2 linked regions of the Oryctolagus cuniculus genome follow. The protein of the gene in region 2 interacts with the protein of the main gene of each other region in a pairwise test. Links are inferred from orthologs where the notes say so. Each region holds a gene or a part of one and is shown on either strand. Other genes may lie near its edges.

Region 1 (13,666 bases), on a different chromosome or scaffold from region 2:
ATCTAAGGATGCAGAAATGTGTCAGTGGAGTTCAATCAGTAGAGAATGCATGGATATATGGTTTCTATGAATGGAAAGATTTCTGAACAGGCTTTAAGTGAGGTATACGGATATCAAGGGTACGTATTTCTGATTGGCAAGATTTGACAAGGGGGCTCGTCAGTGTCATTCCTAATGGACAGTGGGTGCGTGCCCATATACCATCTTTTTTTAAGATTTATTTTTTAAAAAGGGTTATTTATTTATTTGAAAGTCAGAGTTACAGAGAGAAAAGGAGAGGCAGAGAGAGAGAGAGAGAGAGGTCTTCCATCTGCTGGTTCACTCCCCAATTGGCTGCAACAGCCAGAGCTGCACCTATCCGAAGCCAGGAGCCAGGATCTTCCTCCAGGTCTCCCACGTGGGTGCAGGGGCCCGAGGACTTGGGCCATCTTCCACTGCTTTCTCAGGTCATAGAAGAGAGCTGGATCGGAAGTGGAGCAGCCAGGACTCGAACCAGCACCCATATGGGATGCCAGCACTGCAGGCAGTGGCTTTACCTGCTATGCCACAGCGCCAGCCCCCCATGTGCCATCTTGATGTACGAATGGGAGGTTTTCAACAAGAATTCTATCATGGAAAACTTTATGATTAGAGAGATTTGTCAACTGGGGGTATATCAATGGATGGGGAGTTATGAAGAGAGATTTTGTTGCTGGGCTCCATCAGCAGGCAATAGATTGCTGCTGTGTGTTTGTGAATGGAGAAATTTGTCGCTGGGAGTGATGCATGGGGAGATAGTGCTGGAATATTTATGAATAAGATGTTTCTTAGCGAGGCAGTTCTGAAAAAGAGGATTTGTCACAGTGGGGAGAGAGGACCTATCAAAGGAAGGACTTGCCAAGGGCTTGGGATGTGGCATGTGTAGTCGTGGCAACAGTACAGATTTCCAAAGACAAGGATTAGTCCCCAGTGAGGACTTCATGGTGGGGAATATTATCATGGGGCGGGGGTTCCCTCAGAAGCCTTTGTCAGTGGAGAGATTGACATACTCTAAAGCAGTGTACACACTTCACACTACCAAGAAAAATATCACAAGTGAGCTTATTAAGTATTTGTAACAGCCCTGTAGAGCAGCTCAGCCCTGGCAGAGATGATCATGTTCATCTTAAACTAACGTTTCTAAGGGCTGCCTAGGAAGCCCACGCTCCATATTGGAATGCCTGGTTCCAGTCTTGGCTCCTCTTTTTCCAATCCAGCTTCCTGCTAATGCATACCCTCTGAAGGCAATGTAAGATGGCCCAAGAACCTGGGTTCCTGGTCCTTGCAGGAGACCAGAATGGAGTTCCTGGCTCCTGACTTTGGCCTGGCCCAGCCCCAGCTCTTGCGGCCATTTGGGGAATGAACGAGTGGATGGAAGATCTCTCTTTCTCTCTCTTTCTCTTTCTGTGTCTCTCAAATAATGTGAAAATAGATGATTTTTTCAATTAAAATACATTTTGTAGAAAAATGAGGTTTCCAGGCTGCATCAAATTATTGCTCATAAGATACAATATTTATAATATTGTTTTATGCTTAATATCAAATATTATTTGAAATATTGTAGATAACTATGAGTGGTAAGAGTATCACTACTAAAGTTATAAATTACAATTATTTTGCCATAACTACTACTTGGAAGTTTCCATGTACAACCTTATTTAATGTGTACATTGTCCTTATGCATTAGGCATATTTTAAAAATATATATTATTTATTCATTTATTTGAGAGACACAGAGAGCTCCCATCTACTGGTTCACTGAGCAATATTTCTAACAGGTACTGAATTCCTAGACAGGCAGTGTGGTGTGCCGGCTAAGAGCATGAGCTCTGGAGCCAGGCCATCTGCATTCAAATCCTGGCCCTGCCATGTCCTAGCTGTGTATCCTGGGGAAGTCATAGTACCTTTCTACAGCTCGGTTCCTGCACGGGAATAAAAAGCACACTCACTTATGGGGCCGTTGCTTGGCCTGGTCATGAAAACACCAGTTGAGTTGCCTGCATCCCATATCTGACTGCCTGAGTTTGAGTCTCAGTACTGGCTCATGATTCCAGCTTCCTGCTAATGCAGACCCTGGGAAGCAGTGGTGATGGCTCAAGTGGTTGGGTTTCTGCCACCTGGGTGGCATACCTGGATTGAGTCCTGGCTCCAGATTGCTCAGGAAGTTATTGTTATGAGAGTCTCACGTGTTCTCACCTGAGAAATGCCCATGGGCCAGCCAGCCTAGAAATCCTCCAACCTCAGCAACCTTCTGAAGGATTCTGCAGGGGGGCTGTGATGCCCACTTTTTAAAAAAGATTTATTTATTTATTTGAAAGTCAGAGTTACACAGAGAGAGAAGAAGAGGCAGAGAGAGAAAGAGAGAGCGGTCTTCCATCCAATGGCCCATTCCCTAATTGGCCGCAATGGCTGGAGCTGTGCCGATCCGAAGCCAGGAGCCAGGAGCTTCCTCCGGGTCTCCCATGTGGGTGCAGGGGCCCAAGGACTTGGGCCATCTTCCACTGCTTTCCCAGGCCATAGCAGAGACCTTGATCGGAAGTGGAGCAGCCAGGACTAGAACCAGCGCCCATATGGGATGCTGGCACTTCAGGCCAGGGTGTTAACCCACTGAGCCACAGCGCTGACCCCCAGATGCCCACTTTTTAGGAAGAAAGACTGAAGCTCAACTGAGAGAAGGGCCAGTCCCCAGGCTACTCACTGAGCTGCACACCTCATGCAGCTGTGACCCCCACATGCTTGCTCTCAGCTGTCACTGACTCTCTCCCAGAGGTTCACACACAGATCCACTGAACGCTGGGGTTAGGGGATGCTCAGTTTACTCCCTCTAATGGATTTTCTAGAAGAATGATAAGCAGACACAGTGATCCCAGGGCTAGAGAACCTGCCAGGAGCTCATGCCAAGGCCCTAGGGGAAGTAGCCTTGTGCACGCCGTGGTGGATTCTATGTACCCTGACAAACTGGTCGGCCCCATCCGTGCTGCACTGGCTGCTGTTGGTTCAGGGACCTCCCGAAGGGTGCACATGCTGGCCAGGGAATGGTCTGCATGCTGAATTCCCTGCCACCTCCCAGTTCAGCTTCCTCCCAGGGCTCAGATGAGCTGAGGGCTCAGCAAATGGGCCCTGAAGGCAGGAAAGAGCTTAAGAGTGCAGGGAGTGGGTACTGGGGTTGGGGGAACTGTCAGGAGCTTCCAGAGGCTCACAAGCAGCTGAGGGCCTAGTGACAGAGTCACCAGAGCCAAAGCAGGGCCTGGCCCTTCCCCTACACTTGCACAAATCAGCAAAGACCGCCATTTGCTCTTTTTGGTGGACAGGGTCCAGACCATCCTAGATATGAGCAAGGTGCCAGTGGCAACATAGAACCTGCTGCCACAGTGGGCCTGGCCTGTTCAAGCAGTCACTGCTGCATGCTCATCTCCCATCTGGATCTGGGACATATCTTGGGCCCTGGGAGAATCTCTCAGGCGTGCAAAGGGCTTTGAGACAGGACCATAGAGGCTCTAGAGCCCATGCTGGGTGACCTAGAATGCTCCAGAGGACACCTGGATTCATACTGGTAGTAGTCTGATGGGGAAGAATTGTGGTCCTTTTCTTCACCAAAGATTGGGACCTTTTATAAGCAGATTTGGGTCAACAGCACACTTGAGTGTTCCACTGAATGTCTGCATTCATCTGAAACTCTGATCCCCACCTGTGTCTGGACTTTGGAGTATCCCAAGCAGGTGTCAGGGGCTGGAAAGGGGCCAGAGGGCCCCAGGCCCAACTTTAAGCATAGGGAGGCCCAGGAGTGCTGGGAGGATCTCTCTCAGGTCTTGTGAAGGAAGACAAGCCAGAAAGCTGAGGGTTTGGTGCAGAGATCTCAGTTTGGGTGCGGCACCAGCTGGGTAAGGGGAACCTGCTGCTTAGGCCTCATGATGAACCCTAGCGGAATTTCAGTGCTGTCCACGTTCCCTTTAAGACTGGTCAGAGGAGTGAGGGGAGCAGGGAGAGGGGAGAGGGGACAAGCGGAGAGCTTGGGGGTTTTGAGATCACACCTTCTCTCCATCTCACCTGTCCTGTGTCCCCACACAAGCCCTCCTAAGGAGTCATCCACAGGCCAGAGCCAGGGCTCGAATCCCTGGCTGGGTGACTTTGGGGATTTAGGGATCCTCTGAAGGTTTCCCCTTTGGCTCGAGTCAGATTTCCAGTACAAAACTCAAGGGTGAGGACAGGAACGCTCATAGTTGGGCAGATCCCCAGTGCTAATACCAAGCCTGAGAGTTAAAAGCACCACATCACATTTTAGGTGAAAGATTAAAAAAAAAAAAAAACCAGCACCTAGTATCCATCACTGCCCTTGGCACAGATCCCAGAGTGCTCCCACCAGGTCATCAGCAACACGGGAACAGTGTCTGCAGGGTGGTAGTTCTTTATTTCATTGTGTGGGACAAAGAAAGATGGGGGTAGGAGGGAGGCAAACATGGTGTAGGCTTCGGCTTCCAACAGGAGCAGCCTTCAGTCTTTCCGGGGCCGCAGGGACTGCCAGGCGCACAGCCCAGGCTCCTGTGGCAGGCAGGCGAGATGGCGGCTCTGGAAGCCCTTGTCAGAGCCTAGGAGGAGCTGGTCTGTCCACAAGCAATGAGTGTCACTCTCCAGATGGCAGGGGATGGATGCACAGGCAAACACCTACAGGAGAGGTGGGAGGACACAGCTGGGAGGGCTGCCCTCCTCCACCTACCTCCCCTACCAAGACGCTTTCCCTCCTCAACTTGCAACACGAAGCGGTTAGGGGGACTTGGTGTCGCCCCACCTGGGTTCAGACCCAAGAACAGCCCCTCTCTCGCTGGGAAATAGTAAACCAGAGAAAGGACCCGCATCCTGGAATGGTGGTTGGGGAATGGTCGCTGGAGGTCAGTCTGGCAGGTCTCCTGGGGGATTGTGCTACGGGACATCTGGAAGTCGTGGGGTTGTGGGGTAATGGAGTGTGGGGAAGTAGAGTGTAGCAGTAGCTAGTGGGCCTCTGAGGCAGTCCCTGGGGTCAGATGGCATCAGGGCCATCAGGGAACAATCTGGGGGCTGCCAGAAGTTCATGTAATGCTCGCTGACGTCTGCAACAGTCAGAGCTACACTGACTCAATCAGACTTGCTGAGCAAGAGTCAGTGGGTTTGGGCACCAGCACTTTAGTCTCCTGGAGAACATTCTAGGGAAGGAAAAACTGAAAAATAAAGAAAAGCAAAAGAAAAAACTAGGCCAAGGGGGTCAGAAACAGTGGGACTACAGGATAGGCACAAGGGGGAGTTAGAGGGACAGGTCTGAGGGACACGCAGTCCCAGTGTCAGACACAGCACCAGAATTGCTAAGGGAGCAATCATAGGGCTCGGGGACTAGCCAGAGAGATCCGGGACAGCCCTTGTGTGTGGGGAGCATGCCCTGGAACAAGCAGCAGCCAGAGGGATTAAGAAGCAAGCCCAGAGCTTGAGGAAAGAGCCCCAGGAGTGGAGGGCAGAACCCAGGCACTCACTGTGCACATGTCACAGCCGGCAGCGTAGGTCTTGGTGAAGCCGGAACGTTGAGAGAAGCTCAGACTGTTCCAGGGAACCACGAAACTGCAAGTCGTGATGTGCAAGAGCCCGTTCCGCAGTTGTCCTAGGTGAAGGAGAAATCAACAGGCAGGATGGTTTTTTTTTTTTTTTTTTTGATTGATTGTCTGGGCGGGAGAGGGGGATGGGTGGGGAGAGTGCCTGATTGGAGTTCTTAGCCTACAGATCCCCCATTGGGCAAAGTCCCTGCCTTCTGATAGGCTGGGATCGGCAGGTCTCATTTCAACCGGGAGGAGTCCCTTCTGAGCCTCGCCCCGGTGTCTGAGGGACGGGCAGGCGTGGCCCAGGGTGAGGGGAGGGGGCCTCACCAGCGATGAGAAACTCCTCGCTGCGGTTCTGGGATTTGTGGGAGTACCCGCAGACACTTTCCATGGCGGGGGTGTAGACAAACCGGATATCCGTGGCATGCCCCAAGGCGTCAAATCCTTTGAACATCTGTTGACAGATGAGGGGAAGAGTTGTTTACCGACATCATCCTCCCACTCCACCTTCTTCCCTGAAGTCATACAAGTATAGCATCCTGAGATCACCACTGACCTCCTTCCTAACCTGTGGCCAGAGCCTTCTATTTTTTTTAACTTACTTACTTGAGAGGGACACGGAGAGAGAGGGAGGGAGGGAGGAGGGGAGGGAGAGAGAGAGAGAGAGGGAGACCTCCCATCCATTGATTAACTCCTCCAATGTCTTGCAGCAGCTGGGGCTGGGCACGGGCCAGGGCCAGGAACCGGAAACTCCATCCAGGTCTCGCACAGGGGTGGCAGGGGCCCAAGTACTTGAGTCATCACTGCTTCCTGCCAGGATCCGCATTGGCAGGAAGCTGGAGTCAGGAATTGGAGCTGGGAATTGAACCCAGGCACTCTGATGTCTTAACTTACAGACGTCTTAACTGCTAGGCTAAATGTCTGCTCCCAGAGGCCTCTATTTTGACCAGGAAGAAAGTGTTAGGGATGCTGGAGAAGGGGCAGGGGAGTACCTTGGTTGTCTTGATTTCATAACGCTGGTACAAGGTAGTATGATTGACTTCTGGAGCCCCCACAAACTTGGCCCTGATGACTGCAGGAGAGGAGGGGAAAGATGAGTCAGAGGGACTGCAAAAGCCAATAAAAATAAAGTCATCATCCTACTAATCCCAGGCAAGCGCATACATAAATAGGGATTACTGTATTCCAGACGGCACACTAAGCGATTGACACATTTGTGAATTGATTCATCTATATATCGAGTGACTCCTCTTTCCCAGGCACTGCTTGAACCTTTTTCATTTGTTCATTTGCCCATTGACTCAACAAATATTTCAGAGCATCTACTGTGTGCCAAGCACTGTTGTGGGTGTTAAGGACCCAACAGGAAACAAAACACAGACTTCCCTTTCCTTGTGGAGTTCACATTCTAGCCAGGAGGAGACTGACTAAAGACAAAGATGAGCACTGGGAAATGTTGGATGCTACTCGATATAGTGCGGAATTACAAAGCTTGGTGAGGGAGTCACCATGATTCTTTGCTTGGTCAAGCTTCAGTCAAGCTCCTAAACCTTCTCCTAGGCCCATCTGTGCACTTGCTTGCAAAAACCCAGTTTTAGCAAAGAACCCTGCTAGGTCCGTTTATCGCAAGAATCCCCCACCCTCATCTGCTCAGCCTCATTATCTGATGGGGTTCTTCATTCCCCAGCCCCCACCCCCAGGTGATGTCTCATCACCCTGGCCCACCTTCTGCAAATATCCTTTAGCCACAGTCCCCACTCCCCTTACCCCACATGTTTTCTCTTTCCACTGACCCCTGCCCTGTTCCTGGCTACAGATTCCCACTTGCCCATGTGGTATTTGGAGTTGAGCCCAGGCTCTCTTCCTCCCTGCAAAATCCCATTGGCATGGGTCCTCTTCCTGCACCTGTAGGGATGGTCCTGAATAAAGCATGCCTTACGGAGCTTCAACAAGCATCCTTGAATAAGTCTGTCTTTAACAGGGTGTGTAGAGTACTAGAGGGGCAGGAGTTAAAGTTTTAAGCACGATGGTCAGGGAAGGCCAGGGTGACACTTGACACAGCTGCCCATGTGTACACGGAGACAAGGTTACCAAGCAGAGGGTGCAGCCCGCACAAAGGCCCTGAGGAGGGCTTGAGCCTAGGGTATCCCTGAGGGTGTGGAGTCAGGGCAGAGGCAGGTGGAACTGCTCTAGAGGCAGGTGCCATCGAGAGGGAAAGCAAAGCAAGGGATTGCGGGCACAGTGGGTCCTGACTCACCAAGGTCGGAGTTGCAGAAGGCCGTCTGCGGGTGAGGTGGGACACAGGTGCAGGCTCTGCTGGGGGCTACCAGCCACAGCAGCAGCAGCATGCTGGAGGCCAGGGCTGCCAAGGGGGCCATGGTGGATTCTGCATGAGAGTACGGGTGTCAGGCAGCCTTCCCGCCCATGCTGCCCCAGGCTGGTCTGCAAGGGGATGAGGGGGCTGTGTGGGGGCTTGAGGAGTTGGGAATCTTGGGATTTGTAGGAGAAGGGGTGGGATTGCAGAGGTGTTCAGGGGTTTAGAGAGTTGGGAGAGTTGAGGGGTTTGTGGAGTTGGAGTGGCTTAGGGCACTGAGTCAGGTGGGGGATTGTAGGGTCTTGCATTTTGTGAATAAGGAGGGGTCTCAGAAAATCTGGAGGGAAAGGGAGTTGGGGTGGGGGCCAGAGAAGTCTGGGAGTTTCAGAACTGTACATATTAAGTGATGAAGAGGGTGGGGATTTCGGGAGGTTGAGAAATTTGGAAGAAGTTGGGGGTTTAGGGAGTTGTGTGAGTTTGGGAGCTCAAGGTGTTGGGGGGATTGGGTGTCTAAGGCGATGGGGCTACTTTAGGGATTTGAGGACAGACGAAGTGTTGAGGTTTAGGGGGTTGAGGATTAAGGAGTTCAGAGACTGGGCTAGGGGAGTTTAGGGAGCTGTGAAGGGGGGGCTGGGCTGCAGATTGAGGGGGTTAATGAGGGGCTTGGAGGCATTGGAAGGTTGGGAGGCGTTTTGGTATTAGGGGGTCATGGGTTTGGGGGCAATGGGGATGGATGCCAGGGATTCGAGGGGGGTTGCTGTGTCAGGGCCGGCAGCACTTCCAGCCCCCTCCCCGCTTGCCCTTGACCAGTCCAGGGTCCTGGTACCCGCAGGCCAGGCTGAGCAGCAGCAGAGGAATCTGGCACGGACCGGACAGGCCTGCTCGCCAGCGCACAAACTCCAGACCAGCCCCAGCCCTGCCGGCAGCCCAGGCCTCCACCCCAGCCTCACCCGCTTACCTCTAGCGTCTGTCCGGGCACTGGAGCAGCGGCGGTGATGGCGGCAGCACGGCCTGAGCAGTAGAGGATAAATGTCCACGCGAGGGGCGGGGTTGGCGCAGAAACCACAGGCCTCCAGGCTTCCTGGATGCATTACTCATCCGCCCACCGTCAGCGCAGAAGTCTAGGGGCGGGCCGAGGGCTGCCCAAAGGAGAGACACCCTCCTTCCCCTCCCCTCCCCCAGCTCCACGTCGGGCACATTCCTTCCAAGAGAGCTCGGCGGCGGCAGGATCCCCCCCCCCCCCATTGAGTCCTCGAAAGTCTCCCACGGCTCTGCAACCGCCCACATCCGCCAAAATCCCCAAGGCTGAAGCCTGAATTTAGTCCATGCCTTCGATCTTCATTGTGCATCTGCTGTGTACCAGCACATGAAAATCCCAGCCTGGTAGAGGGGGGGAAGCAGAAACAGTGTGGACGGATTAGGCCGATGAATGGGGAAAAAGTCAAGGTGAAGACAGGCTGAGGCATAGGAGACATTACATGATTTAACACAAGATTGCAGTTGATAAATGGCCCAACTGAGGCTTGAACCCAGGTAGCCTGGAGCCACAACCTGGGTCTGAACCCTTCTCAAAGAATCACAGGCAAATGGCCAGCATTTATACAGCACCAACTGTGTACCAGGAACTCAGCACAATTGATTTCATTTAAAGCTCACAATTAGCCTCTGAGGTGGACACCAGGACTTGTCCCATTTTACAGATGAGAAAATAGGAGGCCAAGAAGGAGTGGAAAACTTTCCCAGGATCACAAGGCATGGCCAGGGTTTGAACCTTGGCTAATTGGTGCCAGGTGGGGCCCCGTGTTGGCAGGCAGGGAATGGTACCGGTGGATTAGTGAGCATTGGCAGGGGGGTTGGATGGTGGTGAAAGAAGCTAGTGAGTCAGTAGAAAACCCATCCAAACCCATCCCCACCCCATCCTGCCCTACCCCTTCCCCACCAGCCGGCCCACGCTCCTGTTAGCGGGGGGGGGGGGGGGGGGGGCGGGGGGAGATGAGGCAATCACTGCCCACCAGTTTCCTGATGATGCTGGCATCTTCCGTGGGGTCCTGAAGAGGGTTCCGAGGGCTGATTAACCTCCTTGGTTAATTCAGGGAGGACAGAGCAATAAAAATCCTGACGATAGGGATAACGGCAGCCTCTTATTGAGCACTACTGTGTACTGAGTGCATTGGTTTTTTGTGTAAATTATCTCATTCCCTCTCCATTACTCCCTTGCTACTTAAACTTGATTAACTCAGAGAGGTTCGCTCAATAACAAGAGCACGGTAAAATTACAAAAGGAGTGGTGCTTCCTGCACATCAAACATGGGTGTAAAGTCACTCTGCTCGTGCCCTGTCCCTGATGAGCTCCTGGCTCATCAGTGTGCGTGATCAAAGGCCACAATATGGACAATGACAGTACCTAGCAGTCTTTGAGGGTGCAGGCTGACTGCTTGCTAAGCACTTCCCACCAAGTAACTAATCCATCCCTCTCCTTGCAGCATCCCTATGAGTTAGACACAAGCTCATTTTCTCATCATGCACGTGAAGAAACTGAGCCACACAAGGGTCATGTGACTTGCCCAGGAATGCAAGTTCAAAGGGTTCCCTTGGAGGGACCAAAAAAGGGAAGAAGGGAAGTAAACCAAAAGTATGTGGAAGCCGGGTTGTGAAAGTGGGGGAGTGAGAGTGAATGAAACAGGGGGCTGAGTAACTCGCCCGCAGGACAGGGAGGGAAGTGAAGGCAGGGAAAGTCCTCTCTTGGCCCCTGTGCCCCATGCTGACCCCAGCTCTGACGCCAGTGCTTTGAAACCTGAGCCAGCATTATTTTTAATAAGATTTATTTATTTGAAAGTCAGATTTACACAGTGAGAGAGGGACAGGCAGAGAGAGAGAGAGAAAGGTCTTCCATCCGCTGGTTCACTGCCTAGATGGCCACAATGGCTGGATCTGTGCCTGCTTTCCCAGGCCACAGCAGAGAGCTGGATCGGAAGTGGAGCAGGACTCGAACCAGCGCCCATATGGGATGCTGGCATTGCAGGCAGCGGCTTTACCCGCTACACCACAGCGCTGGCCCCCTGAGTCAGCAGTCTTGCCAGGGAAGGGTTGTGTGGATCCAGGTTCTTGTGCAGGTTTGGAATCAGGGGCAGGGGGCGGTGGGGAGAGGGGCTTCACGGAGGAGTGTCGGGTGTGTGACCGTGTGGGACACCCGATGGGTATGAGGTCCAGCCGAAGTGTGCAGAGCAGACACCTGAGGATCCTCCCAACATACCACGTGCTGGGGCCTGACTGTGCCCTTTGTACAGATCGGGAAACTGAGGCCCAGAGAGGCAATCAGTAATCGGCCTGGAATGCACAGGGCTTTGCAAAGAAGAGAAGCTGAGATGCTGATCTAGAGTCCTATAGGCCATCCCAGGGTCCAGAGCTCCCAACAGGCACCCGTGTGCAGACACACACAGCACATACAGTGTTGTGTTCAGGCTCAGGTTCAGAAGAACCCAGGACACTTTCTGAAAAGAGAGCCCTAGAGACCTCAGATGGTAGGGGATGGGCATGTGTGCGCAGCTCTCTGGCATCTTGCTGTCTCTGGGCGCTGCCTGGACCCATGGGTGCTATGCTTTGGGGATGTGGCTGAGCACCCTGTACCACTTCACATGTTTTGTGTGCTGCTTCTGGGAGGTGTGTATCGAAGTCTGTGAAGTGGGTCTGGGTTCATGCACAGTTGTGAGTGTGCTGTTCACTCTGTGTGGTGTGGTGCCCAACTGGGACGTCACACGCATGCCTTGGCATCATGTCCCTGGCACACTGCCTGGAGGATCTCTGTCAGTCTCCCTGTCCGGACACTGGGCCTCTCAGCTCCCGCGAATGACGCCAGTCATTTAGGAAATGAGGAAGGCGGCGGGGGAGGAACAGAGGGAGGCGAGACCTGAAGGTCCATCGGTCACCCTGAATGTGTGGGCTTCCTGTGCCTGTCGGGAACTGGGAGCCGCCACCGCCCCAGCAGCCCCTCCGGGAATGCCATCCCTCTGTCTGCGTGAGGGAGGGCCCTGCGCTTGCATACGTGCTGGCGGGGAGGGGCCTATGGTCATCCAGCTCAGTTCTCTCTACCGCCCCCCACCCGCCCCGGGTGCAGAGAGAATTCAAAGTATCCTTTCCCCCTGAAGCTGTGGGTGTCCACAAGTGCTGTATATTCCAGAGAGTTGCGGGTATCTCCCGTGGTGTGTATGTCTTTCCGTGCCGCACGAGGTGTGCGTCTAACCATGCTCCCAGGAGTGTGCTATGGGTCTCAGTGGTTGTGTGAAAGTGGAGAGGTGCACGTCCCTCTGTTAAGTCGTGTAGATCCTTTCAGTTGCTGGGCATGTGCCTAGGAGTTGCACGTGCACCTGTGAATATTGAGCAGGTGCCCGGTTTTGTTGAGTGTGCCCGCTTGAGTTGTGTGTGCCTCTGTTTCATATGGGTAATCCTTTGTGTGCTGTGTGTCTGGCCGGTGTGTGGGTTTGGGCAAGGGGAGGGAGCCTGTGTGTGTGTGTGTGTGTGTGTGTGTGTAGGGGGTGCCCCCAAGGGCTGACTATGTAAGGGTGTCAGGAGCATGTAGCCCAGGAGTGCTGGCCACTGTGCCATGCTCTTGAGACCTGGAAGGCTAAGCAACAGTGTGGACTGGGGTGCAATCCCCAGAGCCCAGGGCACTTTCAGCTGGCATTGCTGGTCAGCCCCAACGTGCCTGGGCATCTCTCGGTTCTGTTGTGTAGGTCTGAGTTCTGAGGGTTTGTGTGTGTATCCAAAGGATGTGGGGTAGGGGGAGAGGCTTTCTACAAGTTTAGGCTGAGAGGCCAGTTGCTATATGCTCAACACACACACACACACACACACACACACAAACCTACCTCCCTATCATCTATTCACTGTATAAACAAACTTAATCTTTTCTGGAAAAGTCCTCCACCCATATCCCATGTCTCTGCTCGGGAAAGCAGAGGCAGGAAGTCTGGGACTTGGGGGAGTAAAGGGAGGGACAGGCAGGCAGGGCTCTGGGTTCGAGTTTGAGCTTGGACCTGCTGAAGCCCGCACACTCAGGGTGACCGATGGACCTTTGGGTCTTGCCCTCCCTCTGCTACTCCCCCCCCCCAGCCTTCCTCATTTCCTAAATGACCGCCATCTGTCTCCGACTCGCCCGCCTCTTCTGCAAAATGGCTCTTAAGGCAGCTCTCGCTGGATGGGATCCCCTCAGCCCCCCATGGCTAGCCCTCCTGCCCTGACCACACCTCCTCTGCCTTTGCTCCCACCAGCTCAGCAGCACAACGTACCCGGTGGTTGTGAAGATGGGGCATGCGCACTCCGGCATGGGCAAGGTGAGTTCCCGGCTGTGGAAGTGTGTGCATACGTGCACGTGCATATAGTGCATGGGCCTGGCCCTGCATGTATGCAGGCAGATGTGGGTATATTCAACACATACCAGTAACACTGTACGATCGTGTGTCCTGGGTGTCTTCGTCTGTTTGGACTTGAATTTTCTTGACATTCAACTGTTTTTGTCTGCCCTTTTTCCTGTGGTGTGTTCAGCCGATGTTGTATCCTGTCATTTTGCCAGTGTGCTCAGCCTTGCACATGCGTGTGTGTGTGTGTAGAGGCTCTTGAGGTCCTGTATGCTTTTCCAGCCCAGCCGACTGTGTCTCTGTGCATATGTGGAAAGCAGACTATTTGTTAGCCCGAGTGTGTCCAAGCTTCTGTTTGTAGAGTGTGTGTGCAGCTGATTCTGTGTCTGGGTGCCCCAAGGCACGTACTGTATATACACACA
Region 2 (15,629 bases):
CGGATGTGGAGGCCCCTGGCTGGCCTAGAGAGCTTTGGGGTGCGGAGTGAAAGATTCATCAGCTAGGCAGGGAGAATAGTGATGAACAGCCCCGTGAGTCCATGGTCATCATGCTAACTGCCCCCAGCACCTTGGGGAAGAGAAAAGAAAAACCACTGCCTAGAACAGAAGGGAGGGAGTGTGTATGTGTGTGTGTGTGTGTGTGTGTGTTGTGTGCGGCTGAAAGGAGAAGGAGAGAAAGTGAGAGCCAGAAAGAAACCCCTGGGATATCCTTCCTGACCCAGAATTTCTGGGGAGGCAGTGAGCTCCCCCATCCCACCCTAGATTCGGCCGGGGAGGGGGCAGGGGGACCTCTTGCACAGATCACCAGCCTTCCAATCACTGGCAGATGTGTCCCTGCGGCTGGATTTTCCCAGCAGCACCACACCCCCTTCCCAGCTCCTCCCTCAGGAGGAATCCTGGGAGTGGGAAGAAGGAGCCGGGTCATTTGCATCACATCTGAGAGTGGCCAAAATCCCAAGGTTTTCCCTAGCCTGGCCCCTTGGCCGGCCTTCCCCTGCCGCACTGGAATCTCGGTGCCAGAGACCACCCGAGAGACCAGAGGGGCAAGCTGACCTCCTTCCTCCTCCTAACCCTAGTGTGGCCCAGGCCTACGTGAACCAGAGGAAGCTGGACCGCGAGGTGAAGACCCTGCAGGCCCAGGCTGCCCAGTTTGCCAAGCAGACAGGCCAGTGGATTGGGATGGTGGAGAACTTCAACCAGGCTCTCAAGGTGGGCCTCGCTCCCTTTATCACCTCCCCATTCTGGGCCCCCACAGTCTGCCTCCCTCAGGGGTTAGGGAGGAAGTGGAGCTGGTCCCAGAAGCCCCACCTGTGGCCCCAGTGTGTGAACAGCCAGAGAAAGGAAAGTCACTGGTGGGTCCAGGGGGTGGGTGAAAAGCACCCCCAGCCTGGGAGCCGCGCCTGCCCACCCACCTGCTTCCCCTTCCCAGGAAATCGGGGATGTGGAGAACTGGGCTCGGAGCATTGAGCTGGACATGCGCACCATTGCCACCGCGCTGGAATACGTGTACAAGGGACAGCTGCAGTCGGCCCCCTCCTAGCCACTCCACCCCCGCCCTCCACCCCGCCCTGCCTGTGTCACCCGCACCAGGCCGTGAATAAAACCCCAGCCTCCGTTCGTGTGTGGTGTGTTTCGAGGTGCTCCAGTGTGGGAAGTGGGATGGAAAGATCAAGGGTGACTCCCACAGGATGGTGCCATTTAGATACGGGTGGAACCAGCTTCCTCTTACTGTCCCGACCCGCTCCTCCTCCTCCTCAGGCCTGGTGCAGGTTCCTGTTGGGTAAGCTTAGGGTGCGAGTGTCCCACACTTCCCCAGAGAAGGTTCTAGGGGTCCTTAGGGCGTCCTAATTCGGGACTTGAGTTTCCTGCAGAAGAGAAGTAAGACACACAGCGTGCCTGGGCCCCTGCTCTGGCTCGGGGCCTCTCCACGTGCTCAGGGCCTCTCCCAGGCCAGCACTAAGCAGTGTCATGAGTCTGGGCCGGGTGCGAGATTAATTCTTGGAGGCACAGCAGGGCCAAGAAGGGGGAGGAATGACAGGTCCAAGGCCACCAGCCGAGAGGGGCAGCTGCTGTCCCTGACAGCTCCCTCCTGGGAGACCACGACACAGGTGGCCACTTACCCAGGCTGACAGCCCCAGAGGGGCCTGGGCAGATCTGGCCTCTGCTAAGCCCTGGCCGCAGGCAGCTGGGCTTTGGCAGACCTGGCCTCGGGGCTCCAGGCTCAGGGCTCCTCCTCCTCGGCCCTCCCTCCACCCCCCTCGTACATGTGCTTAATACTCCTGGCACCCGAGGCCACCCACTCGGACTTGGGCCTTAGCTGGAGCTAGCGTGGGAGCCTGGGAAGCCAGGAGCAAAGTCTCTTAAAAGCAAAACAAGAAGCTTCGGGCTTTGTAGGACCTGCGAGCTTTCCCCAGAGGAGGTAAGGGGGACCCTGGGAGCTGGGGTGCCGTGAGGGGAGGGGCTGGAGGTCCCGTGTGCCAGTAACTCAAAGCGCCAGGCATATCTCATCTTCCTCACGTGGCATCCCAGACCCTCATGGCTCAGGGTGTCAGCCCCGCTTGGCAAATGAGGTTCAGACACCGCCATACAAGTTGGAGGCCACCGGGACTTGGGCGAGGGGCTCCTGACCCTGTGATTCCAGGCACAAGGCCGGGGTTACACTTAGAGGGTTGGGGGTCGCTGCGGAGGTGAGAACAAACAAGGAGGTCCCTCTGCTCCCCAACACAGGCCCCGGCTCATCCGGCTTGAATCAGGTTAGCCACAGTGCAGGGCCTGCCCACGTCTGTGTTGCAGAGATGAGTTGTAGTTTGCCAGTTATTCACCAGGTAGCTAATTTCTCAAATCTGCTCAGACTGGACAGTCCCAGCCAGGGAGGATATTAGGGGCAAGGGCTTGGGGGCCAAGGCTTCTGCCCAGCCTACACTGCCACCTACAGGCCGTTTTGGATCCTGCCATGTGGCTGCTCCTGCTGCTGGGTGCCTTGCTCTGGGCAGGGCTGTGGCTGCTCAGGGACCGGCAGAGCCTGCCCAGCAGCGATGCCTTCATCTTCATCACCGGCTGTGACTCAGGATTCGGGCGCCTTCTGGCACTGCGACTGGACCAGAAGGGCTTCCGGGTCCTGGCCGGCTGCCTCACTCCCTCTGGGGCAGAGAACCTACAGCAGGTGGCCTCCTCCCGCCTCCACACCACGCTGCTGGACGTCACTGACCCCCAGAGTGTGCAGCGGGCAGCCACGTGGGTGGAGTCACACGTTAAGGAAGCAGGTGAGGACCCTGGCACCCAGGGGCGGTTGCTGTGGGAGGGCCTCACCTGCCCTCTGCGCCCGTCCCGTCTCCCCCACAGGGCTCTTTGGGCTGGTGAATAACGCTGGCGTGGCCGGGATCATCGGGCCCACACCGTGGCTGACACGAGACGACTTCCACCGCGTGCTGAGTGTGAACACGTTGGGTCCCATCGGGGTCACTCTTGCCCTGCTGCCCCTGCTGCAGCAGGCCCGGGGCCGGGTAGTGAACGTCAGCAGCGTCCTGGGCCGCCTGGCAGCCAACGGTGGGGGCTACTGTGTCTCCAAGTTTGGCCTGGAGGCCTTCTCTGACAGCCTGAGGTGAGGGGCGCAGGGCTGTGGGCTCCCAACCCAAGGACGGCCCTCCCAACAAACAAATTAGTGCCTGCCCAGGGTGGGCCAGCAAAAAATAAGACACAGCACAGTGGAGTATCCAGGAGGAGAGGGCTCAGGTCCAGACACCATGGATTCAAGTCCTTTCATGCAAGCTTAGGGTCTTTCTTATTTATTTATTTATTTATTTGAGAGGTAGAGTTACAGACAGAGCAAGAGACAGAGAGGAAGGTCTTCCTTCCACCGTCTCCCATGTGGGTGCAGGGGCCCAAGCACTTGGGCCATCTTCCACTGCTTTCCCAGGCCATAGCAGACAGCTGGACTGGAAGAGGAGCAATCGGGACTTGAACCGGTGCCCATACAGGATGCCGGCGCCGCAGATGGAGGATTAACCTACTGTGACATGGCACTGGCCCCTCAAGCCTCAGGGTCTTACAAAGATTCCTTCTCTTTACCCATTTTTTCTTCTCTGTTAAACTGGGATGAGAAGCTCTACCTCCCAGGTGTGGTGAGAGGTAAAAATAAGGGGCCCAGCAGTGCCTGGTAGGTACTAAGTGCTCAGAAAAGCCTGCTATTGCTATAAATAGGGAAACAGACTACCATCACTAAGTAGCACATGGCCAAAATGTAGAAGGAATACACACCAGCTAGCAGACGCGCTGGGGCCTCCCACCCCTCATCAGTCAGTAATCCTGTTCAGGGGGCCATGGGTGCACAAAGGAGGTGGGGCAGGACGACAGGGCAGCGGGGCCTCAATGTTGAGCCGAGCACAAGGCGCTCAGGAAGCCCGCCCTCTTCCCCGTCACTCAGTATTTTCAGCGTTCCCCTCTGTCTCGGTCCCTCAGCCTTTCATTTCCCAGTCAGCCCGGAACACAGGCTTTACATGTGGACTTCTGCGTCTACACCAGGGCACTGGCATGTGTCCCCACCGCCCCCACCCCCAGAACTACCAGTCTGCACCCTGCATGTCAGCACTCGGAACTCACGGGGTTGTTCTCAGGCCAGCTGCAGCCAACTGCCTGCAGGCTCATAATGGTCAGGCTAATTGTGTTTCTTGGCCCATGGTGCCTAAACTGGGTGGCCCTTTAAGGAAAAGTGTGCTGACCTCTGCTACAGATCGTAGAAGAAAATATAAAGCCTCCGGCTGCCAGGCAGCCCGGACCTCCCCCGTCAGGGCTCCTGCCCCTCATCTGTGTTAAGGCCCTCATCTTAGCTGCCCAACCTGTGCACCACAGGGCAAGCGCCCTGAGCCCTCCCTCTGCCCCTACTCCAGGCGGGACGTGGCTCCTTTTGGGGTCCAAGTCTCCATCGTGGAGCCTGGCTTCTTCCGAACCCCTGTGACCAACCTGGAGAGCCTGGACAGCGGCCTGCAGGCCTGCTGGGCACGGCTGCCCCCAGCCACACAGGCCCAGTACGGGGAGACCTTCCTCACCAAGTGTGAGTAGCGGGGCCAGACGGGGGCATGGGACGGCAGGACGGGAAAGGACCACCAGGAAGGTCAGTCCCACCCCAGCCTGTGGGAGGAGTGGGGGCAAACAAGATGGGATGCCATGCACAGCAGCCCAGTCCCACCCCCCAAACGGGGCTGGGGGGTGAGGAGGCGAGGAACCCTCTGACCTTGCTAGGAACAAGCCCAGGACCCAGAAGATAGGGCCCAGGAGGGGGGCAGTGTCCTGAGGCTGATGACACCCACCACGGGGCCGCAGATCTGACAGTGCAGCGACGCATCATGAACCTGATCTGTGACCCGGACCTCACCAAGGTGAGCAAGTGCCTGGAGCACGCCCTGACTGCTCGTCACCCTCGAACCCGCTACAGCCCAGGCTGGGACGCCAAGCTGCTCTGGCTGCCGGCCTCCTACCTGCCGGCCAGCCTGGTGGATGCCGTGCTCACCTGGGTCCTTCCACAGCCTGCCCAGACCGTCTACTGAATGAATCAGCCTCCCAGAGAGACTGTTTTCCAAGAGCAAGGACTCTGACTTGTTTCTGCCCTCGTTCTGGTACCATCTGGTGCCTGGCGCAAAGCAGGCACTCAATAAATGTGTACTGTCTAAAAAGCAGAAAGTGAGTGAGCAGAAATGAAGGCGTCCCCAAACTGCCAAGTCTTTAGTGCCTGCAAAACGCCCACTGGGGGGCGCCGGGAACTCCTGCATCTTCGGGTGAACTTTGCAACCGCACCCGGAGGAGTGGCCACCAGAGGGCACTTTGCATGTGTCACCTATTTTCTGCATGGAGTAAGGTTACAATTCTGTGTTTGTACTGGGAATGGATCTTTAGCTCTCTTCCGTGATGAAGCATCAGGGCCAACTTGAGTGGTTTCCAAGGGGAGGGGGGGGGATACTCATTCTCCTCAGTCCAGAATGAGGGAAAGTGGCCACCCTACTTATCAGCACCCTGAAAGGAAGCAGGTCCCCTTGAGAACTGCGCGAGAGGGGGCTGCTGGGCCCCCAGGTGCACAGAACGCCAGGGAGAGCGTGGCCACAGCTGACCCAGGCTGGGCTCTCCCAGGTGAGGCCTGTGTGGGAATCCTGGGACTTACCCAGGAGGTGGTTTCATGGATGTTCCAGCAAAGAGCGCAGGGCTGGGGGCAGAGAGGGCACTGGGCCGGCGCCTCCTCCAGACCCCACATCCCCCTGCCAGCCCACTCAACACGTTCAAGCACAACCCCCTTTCCCAGACGCTCACCACCTGCCTTCCCCGGCGGTGCACACAGAGCAAGGGAACAAGGATAAGGAGGAAGAGGTCAGGTATTGCTTTGAGACAAACAGACACCATGTCTCTTTTCGGTCTGAAAAAATAATCCGTTTAATTGAAAAACCTGGTGGATACGACTGCACTCCCCTAGACGGAGGGGGCTGAAGAGACCAGAGCCCTACATCACCTCGTAGCCACTTCGAATGCTCTTCACAAGGCAGCAGGCAAAGACAATGCCCAGGACCTAGAAGGACAGAGGCAGAGGGGAGTGAGGAGGGCAAGCCACCCCAGATCCACCCGTGGGACCACGGGCCCCTGCCCGGGTCATCTCTCACCTCCACAAAAGCAATGCCCAGGGCTGCTGCCGCCACCACCAACACGTTTTTCCTCAGCCACAGCCCGATCTTCTCCACGCAGCCCTGAGGGGAGGCAGGCACACAGGTGAGAGCACTACCAGAGCTTCCCACCAGCCGGCACCAGGCACCTGGCCCGCCACCTCTCGTCCCTGACCCTGTCCACCTCCCATCCCTAACCCCGGCCACCTCCGTCCCAGAACGTTTCCGTGCCTCCTGAAGCCTCCGCCAGGTTATCCAGCCCCCTCCCTACCTCGACATAGATGTCCTTCACGTTGAACTTGACCCCACAGCCCGAGGTGACGTTGACACAGCAGGAGTCAGGGACGCGATCCCTGGTCATGCCAGGGATGGTCGCCCAGTCCGTGTAGTTAGCAGCCCCACAACACGTGAACTGGGGGAGGAGAGGGAGACGGGGGAGAGGGTGGTGATGTGAGCCTCCCCCCTTGGCATGGCGACGCCTCTGCCCCCGGCAGCCCCGCTCACATCTTTCTGCATCCTGTCCAGGATTAAAGCGGTCTGGTTGTCTGTCGAGTAATTCTGCATCTGCTGCCGGAAATCCTTATTAAACTCCGACATCACCTGAGAGTAAGGAGAAGCGCTGTTGAGGTCCGAATCCAGGCACCTGGGTTCTGAGCAGCCCAGGGGAGGACCGGCCCCTCACTCCCCACTCACCTTGTCTCTAAACACGTAACCAGCAATGGCAGCGGCCACCTCCACCAGCATGATCAGAGACAGGAAGATGGCAAACTGCAGGGGCACAGCACAGGAGTCAGCCTTCCAGTCTACGACCCGAGACCTGGCCACGGGGACACGTCCCTGGCACCACCACTCACCGTGATCATAAGACAATAGTTCTCCTTGCAGGTTCCACAGCAGCCCACAAAGGCCACCAGGAAGAGGAAGGCCCCCACGGCAATGATGACCACAGGCAGCAGGGAGCCAGGAGTCGCTCCGTGGGTTATGGTCTGACTCAAGACGAGCTGCGCCCCCACACCCACGGCAATCAATCCCACTGCACAGGCCTGAGCGAGAGGGCACGGGAGGGTTAGGCTGGCCGGAAACACAGAGCTGACCCCTGGAGGAGAGGCCTAGCCGCACTCCTCCGGGAAAGGGGACTGCGGGGGAGGGGATGGAGGGACTGGGGAGAAAGGAGAAGCTACCGGTGAGCTGTGACCCCGGGGCACACATTCCTGCCCAGAGCAGGACGAGCCTCCAGGGCGCCCAGCCCCGGTGCCAGCCCACGCCTTGGCGGTGACAGCTCCGCCGGCCGGCTAGGCCAGGAAGGAGAAGGGGCAAGGGTGCTCCTCCCTGGACAAACTGCGGCTTCTCGGCCCGGGCGGGAGCCACTTGGGGTGAGCAGTGCCCTTCCTCGCCCCCACAGAAGCCGGGCGGGAAAGAGGGGAAGGATGTGGGGTGGAGGAAGAGGGGGCCGCGGGAGGACGGGGCAGAGGAGCCTCGTGGCGATAGCATCAGGCCGTTGGCTGGTTGCCCCACTGCCCCAATCACAAGTGGTTGGGTCACCAGACAGGAAGGGCCAGGAGGGGTGGGGGTGGGGCGCTGCCCGTCCAAGAGGACCACTTTTCGGTCAAATGGGCCTCCGGGGTCCCCGAAAGCCAGAAGACGGGGTGGCGGCGCCGCCCTCGGCCCCGTTCCCCGGGCTCTCCCCGCACATCTGGCCTGCAGCTGCCTTGGCTCTCGGCGGTCGGGAGCCAGGGCACCCCCCACCCACCGACCGCGCCCCGCCAGGCTCGCGCCCGAGCTCCGCACTCACGCAAAAGGCCAGCAGGAGCACGTAGAGCAAGAACTTGACACATTTCATTCCTCCTTCCACCGCCATGGCTGCCGGGCCTGGGGTCCAGGGGAGGCGGAGAGGGGGGATTAGGGGGAACCTCGCTTTCCGAGCTCCCCGCCGGCCCTCGAGGCCTTCCCTGCCCGGCCCCCATTCCCGGCCCCTCCCACCCGGAAAGCCCGCGGTCGGTTCCACGTCTCCCAGCCCCCTCGCTCCCCGGGCGGCAGAGGGGTGGGGGTCCCCGCCCGCCGCGGCGCGAGCTTGGGGCAGCTCCCGGGGGCTCGGGACTGCTGCCGACCCCCGGCCCACCAGCCCCGGGCGTCCCACCAGTCCCGAAAAACGGCCCTCCGGCCCAATCCCGAACCCACCCCGTAGGCTCCTCGCCAGCGCTCTGGGCTGCCCCCCGAAAATTAAACAAGTGCGGCAGGCACCCCCGCCCACCCCGCCCCTGCTCGGGAACTTCCGAGCAAAGTTGCTCCAGGGCCCGGAGCGCCAGCTGAGAGCGCGGGGCGGGTCTTCGGCGGCCCCGGGCGAGCCCCAGGAAAGGGGCGCCCGAGCGGCCTCCCCGACCCCGCGCCCGAGCCCGCCGCGGCCCCCGCGGCCTCACCTGGGCTCCCCGAGGCTGTGCGCTCCGCTCCTGCCGCGGCTCAGGGGCTCTCTAGCGGCGCCCCCCGGCTGCTGCCCCGCCCGCCGCGCGGCCCCGCCCCGGGCTCCGGCCACAGCCCCCTCCCCCGCCGGGCGGCCGCCGGCCTCCCTCATGTGACGCGGGAACAGCTGCGGCCTGAGTCACCGGGGCCGGCCCGGGGAGGGCCGAGCCCCCCGCCCAGCGGGAGCCACGTGGCCCCCCGGCCTGCAGGACAGCGCCCACGCCCGCCCAGGGAAGGCTCGGACGGCCGGGCCCTGCAGGCGCCTTGGGGCCCTCATGGCGCCCCCACCTCCGTGCCAGCTCGTGGTAGGACGGCGGGACCGAGCGCCGCCTGGTTCCCTCTGGCTCTGGGCGCGGCAGAGGAGGCGGGCGAGGGCCGAAAGCGGGGGCGGTGGGTGGCCGGGAGCTGCCCTCGAAGTCGCCGCCGAGTCGCTTCCTCCGCCACCTCTGGGATCGAGCCCCTACCCCCAGCCCCAGCCCCAGCCCTGAGTCTGCAGCGAGAGCCGTGGGCTGCTTGGGACTGGGTGGGCCAGAATAAACACGTCCAGGGAGTCTCGCAAATTCTAAGTGAGGGCTCCTCCATTCTCCAGGGCGGGGAGAAGGCAGGAGGCCCCCTTCCACGGCCACCCCACCCCTCCAGGCCGCGTCAGGGCGGGTCCCTCGGGTCCCTCCCGCGGAGGAGGAGTGCCAAGGTCTGTGCCCCGCTGGCTCATGGCTCCTGTTACTGGGGACGACAGCAGGGCAGGGGCTGGGGTATCCAGGCTGGGGGCACGCTCCAGGGCCGCCGGCGGTCTCCACCCCTTAGGTGCTTCTGGACCTGCCTCAAAACCACTTCCCGTGTCTTGGGCGTGTGGGTGCACACAGAAGCTGTCAAAGGGACAGGAGGGGAGGGCGGGCCTGGCCGGGTGCAGAAGCAGTCTCCAGGATCCTGGCCTGGACTTTGCTTCCCCTCACCGCGGCAGGAAGGCTGCGGAGGAGGAGGAGCGAGGGGCCTGAAGAAAGGAGTAGTGATCAGCTTCCTCCCCGTGCCTCGGCTGGATGCCAGGCTTGTGCATCCAGGGGAGGAAGACCAGAGCCCTGCCTGCTCTCTGCAAGCAACAAACCAAGCTCTGTCCTGGGCGTGAAGAAAGGCAGATGCGTCAGGTGACAGTTGGGCACACAGGGAGGAGGGCACCGGGTGGGCGGCTTAGCCCCCCCCCCCCCCCCCCCCCCCCCCCGCCCAGTGACCTTGCAGGATCTCAGTTCCAGACAGGGAAAGAAAGAAGCATTTTTCCAAAGCACGTGGAGTTGCCTCAAAGGCCAAGGGAAGGATGTGGTGAAGATGGGAGGGGAGAGAGCTGAGATGCCCAGCCACCAAGTTCAGCACTTGGTCCTGGATTCAATTGGATGCCTGAGCAACCCAGCTGTGAAAGACTTGCTGGGGGGGGGGGGGTGGTGCCAGGGCTGTAGTGTAGCTGGAAAAGCTGCCTACTGCAACTCCAGCATCCCATTTGCCTGCTAGTTTGAGTCCTGGCTGCTCCACTTGTCATCCAGCTCCCTGCTAATGCTTCTGGGAAAGCAGCTTTTTTTTTTTTTTTTTTTTTTTTTTTTTTTAAGATTGGTTTATTTACTTGAGAGAGTTACAGACAGAGAGAGGGAGAGACAGAAAAGTCTTCCATCCGCTGGTTCACTCCCTAAGTGGCCGCCACAGCCGGAGCTGGGCCAATCCGAAGCTAGGAGCCAGGAGCTTCATCTGGGTCTCCCAGGTGGTGCAGGGGCCCAAGGACTTGGGCCATCTTGCACTGCTTTACCAGGTGTGTCAGCAGGGAGCTGGATCGGAAGTAGAGCAGCTGAAACTTGAACCGGCACCTGTATGGGATGCTGGCACCACAGGCAGAGGTTTAACGTACTATGCCACAGAGCCAACCCCATAAATAAATCTTTAGAAAGAAACAAAAAAAAAAGTTATCTGAAAATCCATGCATTGTGGCACAGCAGGTTAAGCCACCACTTGCAGACACTAGTATTGAATCCATGGATTTGTGAGGGCTCGCAGCCTCAGAGAGCTTTTCCATCTCAGGAATGTGGGGGCAGGGATTAGCAACCAGGAAAGGAGCTGACAGTGAAAGGCCCTTGCTGCACTATTGCAGGTACTGGGCTGGACACCTGGGCTGATGAGGTCAGCGTTGTCCTCAGACAGCCTTGTGAGGTCGGTGCTTTCCTGCTTTCAGAGATAAGGGAGCAGACTTAGAGACATGGAGTCACACCCAGAGTTCAAGCTAGTGAAAAGCAGGCTGAGGATTTTAACCCAGAGCTCACGGGGTTCCAAAGCCTCTGCTTACTTCTCTCTCTCTAGGAGGCCAAGAGAAAAGAGAACCTCAAGACGGGAAGAGAGGGGACAGTGACTGGAAGTGTCACATCGTATGGTGGGAAGTAGAAGGCCACAGAACCAGTGGCTCTCTCTGGACCAGGGTCAGGAGCACCTGCTGAGGCTGAAGTGGAGACATGCGCGTGGGCAGGGAGAGAGCACGGGTGGTCAGCAGAAAGGGACTCCTGGAGGGGTACCACGGGAGGGGCTGTGAGCAAACTGCAGCAAGTGCAGAGTGGTGGGGCCGGGGGAGCCCCAGAAGACCCAATCATGTGGAGCTGGAAGGGAGGAACAAGGAAGGGCAAGAATGGCCCATTCTTTAAAAAAAAAAAAAAAAAAAGATTTTATTTATTTGAAAGTCAGAGTTACACAGAGAGGAGAGTCAGAGAGAGAGAGAGAATCTTCCATCCTCTGGTTCACTCCCCAATTGGCCGCAACAGCCAGGGCTGCGCCGATCTGAAGTCAGGAGACAGCAGCTTCTTCCAGGTCTCCCACGCGGGTGCAGGGGCCCAAGGACTTGGGCCATCTTCTACTGTTTTCCCAGGCCATAACAGAGAGCTGGATCGGAAGTGGAGCAGCCAGGATAGAACCAGCGCCCATATGGGATGCCGGCACTACAGGCCAAGGCATTAACCCGCTGTACCACAGCGCCAGCCCCAAGAATGGCCCATTCTGTAGGAGAAAAAAAAGATTGATTGATTTAACAGGGAGAGCAAGAGAGAGGGGAGAAGGGGAGAGACAGAGATGGAGACTTCTCATCTTCTGGTTCACTCCCCAAATGGCCCCAACAGCCTGGTCTGACACAGGCTGAAGCCAGGAGCCAGGAGCTTCGTCCGGGTCTCCCACATGGGTGCAGGGGCCCAAGCACTTGGGCCATCCTCCACTGCTTTCCCAGGTGCATTAGCAGGGAGCTGGATCAGAAGCAGAGCAGCCGGGGCTCGAAGCAGCACTCCCACGTGGGATGCCGTTGTGGCCAGCAGCGGCCTGACCCTCTGTGCCCAAGAATAGCCTCTTCTGAGTGGAATTCATGGAGGCAGAGGGGAGCGTGGTGAGCGCCGGGGGCTGCGCAGGGGAAATTGCTGTGCACGGTTTCACAGAGGGAAGGTACAAACATTCTGGAGACAGAAGGAGGTGGTGGTTGCACAACATACTGCCACTGCACCGTCCACTACGGAATGGTGAGAATGTCAGAAGACTTTAAGCTATCTGTATTTTACCACAAAAGAAGAGGCGCAGCGGGTGCTGGGCCTAGCACTTGAGACACATGTCCCAAATCAAAGGACCCAGGTTTGATTCTCAGCCCCAGCTCCTGACTCCAGCGTCCTGCCAACACAGACCCTAGAAGGCAAGTAGGTGGGTCCCTGGCCCCAAGTAGGAGATCTGAAGACCAGGAGAGCAAGACAGGGGCTGGGGGCCAGTGCTGTGGCGTAGCAGGTTAAAGCCCCAGCCTGCAGCGCTGGCATCCCATATGGGTGCCAGTTCGAGTCCCGGTTGCTCCACCATGCTGGGAAAGCAGTGGAAGATGGCCCAAGTCCTAGGCCCCCTGCACCTACGTGGGAGACCAGGAAGAAGCTCCTGGCTCCTGGCTTCAGCCTAGCCCAGCCTCAGTCATTGTGGCCATTTGGGGAGTGAACCAGCAAATGGAAGACCTCTCTCTTTACCTCTCTCTGTTTATTTTCAAATAAATAAAAAATAAATAAATCTTTAAAAAAAGACAGGGGCTGTGCTGCGGGGGCTCACACAGCAGCCCAGCACAGGCTCCCCAGACAGTGGGTTCTAGACCCCAGGGAGCCCCAGTCGGAGCGCAGCACAGCGACATCACCACTGATATACTGCTTAGAGGTGAGAGAGGGAACTCCCCCGTCACTGGTGTGGGCAGCTCTGACCACACCAGCTCCTTCATGGTGGGCAAGACCAGGCCCCCGGGGTTCACAGGAGAATGCATCCAACATGCCCTTGCGTCTGCACAGAGATGAAGCCACACTGGCTGCATCGGCCTGCAGGGCTGGGTCCCTCACACCTGCCACCAGCACAGACCACAGGCTGCTGGGACACCTGGTTCTGCCACTCCCGAGGGGGTGACCTTGGCTAAGCCCCCACCCCTCCCTGAGCCTCAACTTCCTCCTGGCTGAGTAGGAGAAAAACAGCTCCTCCCCCACCTCCCAGGGCAGTTGGGGGCGGGGGTTGGCTTTGTTACCTTAAGAATGCTAAGCCCAGGGGTCCGTGTTTGGCACAGCAGTGAAGGCGCCATTCGGGATATCCATGATGTATCGGAGCGTCCAGGTTCAAGGCCCAGCGCTGCTTCCAGTTGCAGCTTCCTGCTAATGCACACGCTGAGGGGCAGCAGTGCTGGCTCAAGTACCTGAGTCCCTGCCCCCTACAAGGGAGACCAGCTCTCAGCTCCAGCCCCAGCCCAGCTCCAGCCATTGTGGGCATTTGGGGGATGAATGAGCAGATGGGAGATTTCTCTCTCTCTCTCACCTTCCTCTCCAATAAATAAAAGACAGCGTAAGTTCTGAACCTGGCATTTGGCACAGGGGTTAAGACACCACTTGGGATACCTGCATCCCATGTCAGAGTACCTTGGGTTTCAGTTCTGCTTCCTGCTAATGTGCAACCCTCATGTATGCGGGTCCCTGCCATCTGCATGGGAAACCTGGATTGAGTTCCCATCTGCCAGCTTCAGCCTGGACCAGCCAGCCCCAGCTTCTCCCCCTCCCACGCACCTTGGCCTTGGCCCAGACCCCCATTCCAGTCCCAAGGCCCAGCTCCTGTTTGTGACGTCCTACCCGACCCCGACCTGGCTCTCTCTTCAGGGCCCTCCTCCATCCCAACCTCATTCTTTCTGGTTTTCCCTGACTCCTGTCTCAGTCTTTTCCCAGCAAGGGTCACCATTACCAATGGGGTTGACCCAGCCTGCCTGGTGGGTGGGCAGGCGGGCAGCCCAGGACCCTCAGCCAGGCCCATGGCTTCCTAGGGAGGGTCTTAGCTTCTGTGTGTCTCCCCTCCAGGACCTGGCTCAGGAGCATGGTGGCACCCACTGGAGAGCCGCAGAAATTCACAGCCAAGGTTTCTCCCAGGACGAAGCAGAGGTGGACATGGGAGAAAGGAGAAAAAGCAATGCTGGCGGGCCGGGTGATCATCTCAGCTTTCCGTTCCTTTGGGACTGAAAGAGCAAGCTTTTATCCGTCCATGAGTAGGAACCCTAAACAGCCCAGGCACTGGGGCTATATGGAGTTGAGGTTCACACCCCCAGATGCCTGCAACGGTCAGGGCTGGGCCAGGCTGAAGCTGGCAGGTCTTCTGTGCAGATGGGTGGCAGGAACCCAAATACGGGAGTCATCAGCTGCTGCCCCCCAAGTGCGCATTAGCAGGAAGCCGGAATTGGGAGAACTGGGACTAGAACCCAGGTACTCTGGTATCCCAAGCAGCGTCTTAACCTCTGCACCAGAAACCCCAGTCTCCAAGATTCTTAGGTGGTTTGGGTGGGGGGAGGGCTTGCACAGCATGGGGGAGCATCCAAGGACCTGCGCTGAGAGGCTCCAGGGAGGAGGTGCTCACCAGCCACCTCCCAGACCGGCTACATCCCTTCCCATGGGCAGCTTGTCTTGCCCTCCGGTCTCTTGACTTCTGTGTCTCCTTCCCGGCACCCAGCCTGCCTCTCTGGTCATGCTCTCACCATTGCTGCACACACCTCACCTTCACTGCCCTGTGCCCACCGCTGACTCTTCTCTGGACACTGGTCCCTCCAGACCTGCCTGCCTTGGGGTCATAGCGCAGTGGGTTAAGCTTCAGCACCCCCTCATGAGTGCCAGTTAGAGCCACCGGCTGCTCCGCTTCTGATCCAGCTCCCCGCTAACGCGCTTAGAAAAGCAGCAGACAGCCCGAGTCCTCAGGCCCCTGCCACCCATGTAAGAGACCCGGAAGGTCTCTCCAGCCCCAGCCATTGTGGTCATCTGGAAAGGGAACCAGCTGATGGAAGATCTCTGTCTCTCACCCTCTCTGTAACTCTGCCTTTCAAATAAAATACACAAATCTTAACAATACCACTTCCTGGCAGCCTAGGTCAGCCCCTCCGCCAGCATCCTGGTGTTCCTGGACAAGCTCTCAGACCCCTGCTTTCCTAACCAGCAGCTCCAGGGCCGGTGTGGCCAGCTGAGGCAGCCCCGGCATCGGGCCCAAAAACCGGAGCAATAGAGGCAGGAAAGAGCGGAGAGGCTTGGAGGTCGAGGGAAGAAAAGAGAGGGCGTGCAGCCAGCGGGTGCGGAGCTCGCCTGGGGGTGGGGGGCGCGGGGGTGCAGCCCCTTCCGTGGTGTCCTGCCTCCACTGCCACCCCTCTCCCAAAACACAAACTCTTTGGCCACCTCCTACCAACTCCCAACCTCTCCTGGAGGGCCTTGGGGCCGCCGAGGGACCCAGGCAAGATAATGACCGGGTTCAGTACGTGGTGTGGGAGAGGGCGGTAATTACACAGGGAAGGGCTTCTGCTCCAGGGCCCGCAGGGTTTTGTGGGCAGAGGCCCGGGGGCGGTCCTCCCGCCCCCCACAAACCCCGGCCCAGAAATGCCTCCCCGCAGCCCCGGGGGCCACAGGCTAGAAGAGCCGGTGCGGGAAGGGAGGCCCT

Evidence for each region.
Region 1: the proteins of CD63 (region 2) and TIMP1 interact in binary tests that used the Homo sapiens proteins (3 or more experiments, as listed by UniProt). The link is inferred for Oryctolagus cuniculus from reciprocal best matches to the Homo sapiens genes CD63 and TIMP1.

Annotation. Positions count from the first base shown.
Region 1 is NC_091453.1:33,076,114-33,089,779, reverse strand, and holds TIMP1 (metalloproteinase inhibitor 1 precursor), read right to left. Parts: upstream 8,849-13,666; intron 7,963-8,848; coding exon of another isoform or gene 7,955-7,962; coding exon 7,834-7,954; intron 6,649-7,833; coding exon 6,569-6,648; intron 6,031-6,568; coding exon 5,904-6,030; intron 5,642-5,903; coding exon 5,517-5,641; intron 4,681-5,516; coding exon 4,510-4,680; 3' UTR 4,409-4,509; downstream 1-4,408. Other genes in the region: SYN1 (synapsin-1), read left to right, coding at 13,158-13,220. UniProt on the Homo sapiens protein: Metalloproteinase inhibitor that functions by forming one to one complexes with target metalloproteinases, such as collagenases, and irreversibly inactivates them by binding to their catalytic zinc cofactor.
Region 2 is NC_091442.1:58,547,757-58,563,385, forward strand, and holds CD63 (CD63 antigen), read right to left. Parts: upstream 8,062-15,629; coding exon 7,996-8,061; intron 7,247-7,995; coding exon 7,058-7,246; intron 6,972-7,057; coding exon 6,897-6,971; intron 6,804-6,896; coding exon 6,708-6,803; intron 6,616-6,707; coding exon 6,475-6,615; intron 6,288-6,474; coding exon 6,204-6,287; intron 6,113-6,203; coding exon 6,047-6,112; 3' UTR 5,959-6,046; downstream 1-5,958. Other genes in the region: BLOC1S1 (biogenesis of lysosome-related organelles complex 1 subunit 1), read left to right, coding at 639-771, 992-1,102; RDH5 (retinol dehydrogenase 5), read left to right, coding at 2,516-2,825, 2,905-3,163, 4,449-4,612, 4,882-5,105; translation initiation factor IF-2, read left to right, coding at 8,060-8,384, 8,486-9,783. UniProt on the Homo sapiens protein: Functions as a cell surface receptor for TIMP1 and plays a role in the activation of cellular signaling cascades. Plays a role in the activation of ITGB1 and integrin signaling, leading to the activation of AKT, FAK/PTK2 and MAP kinases.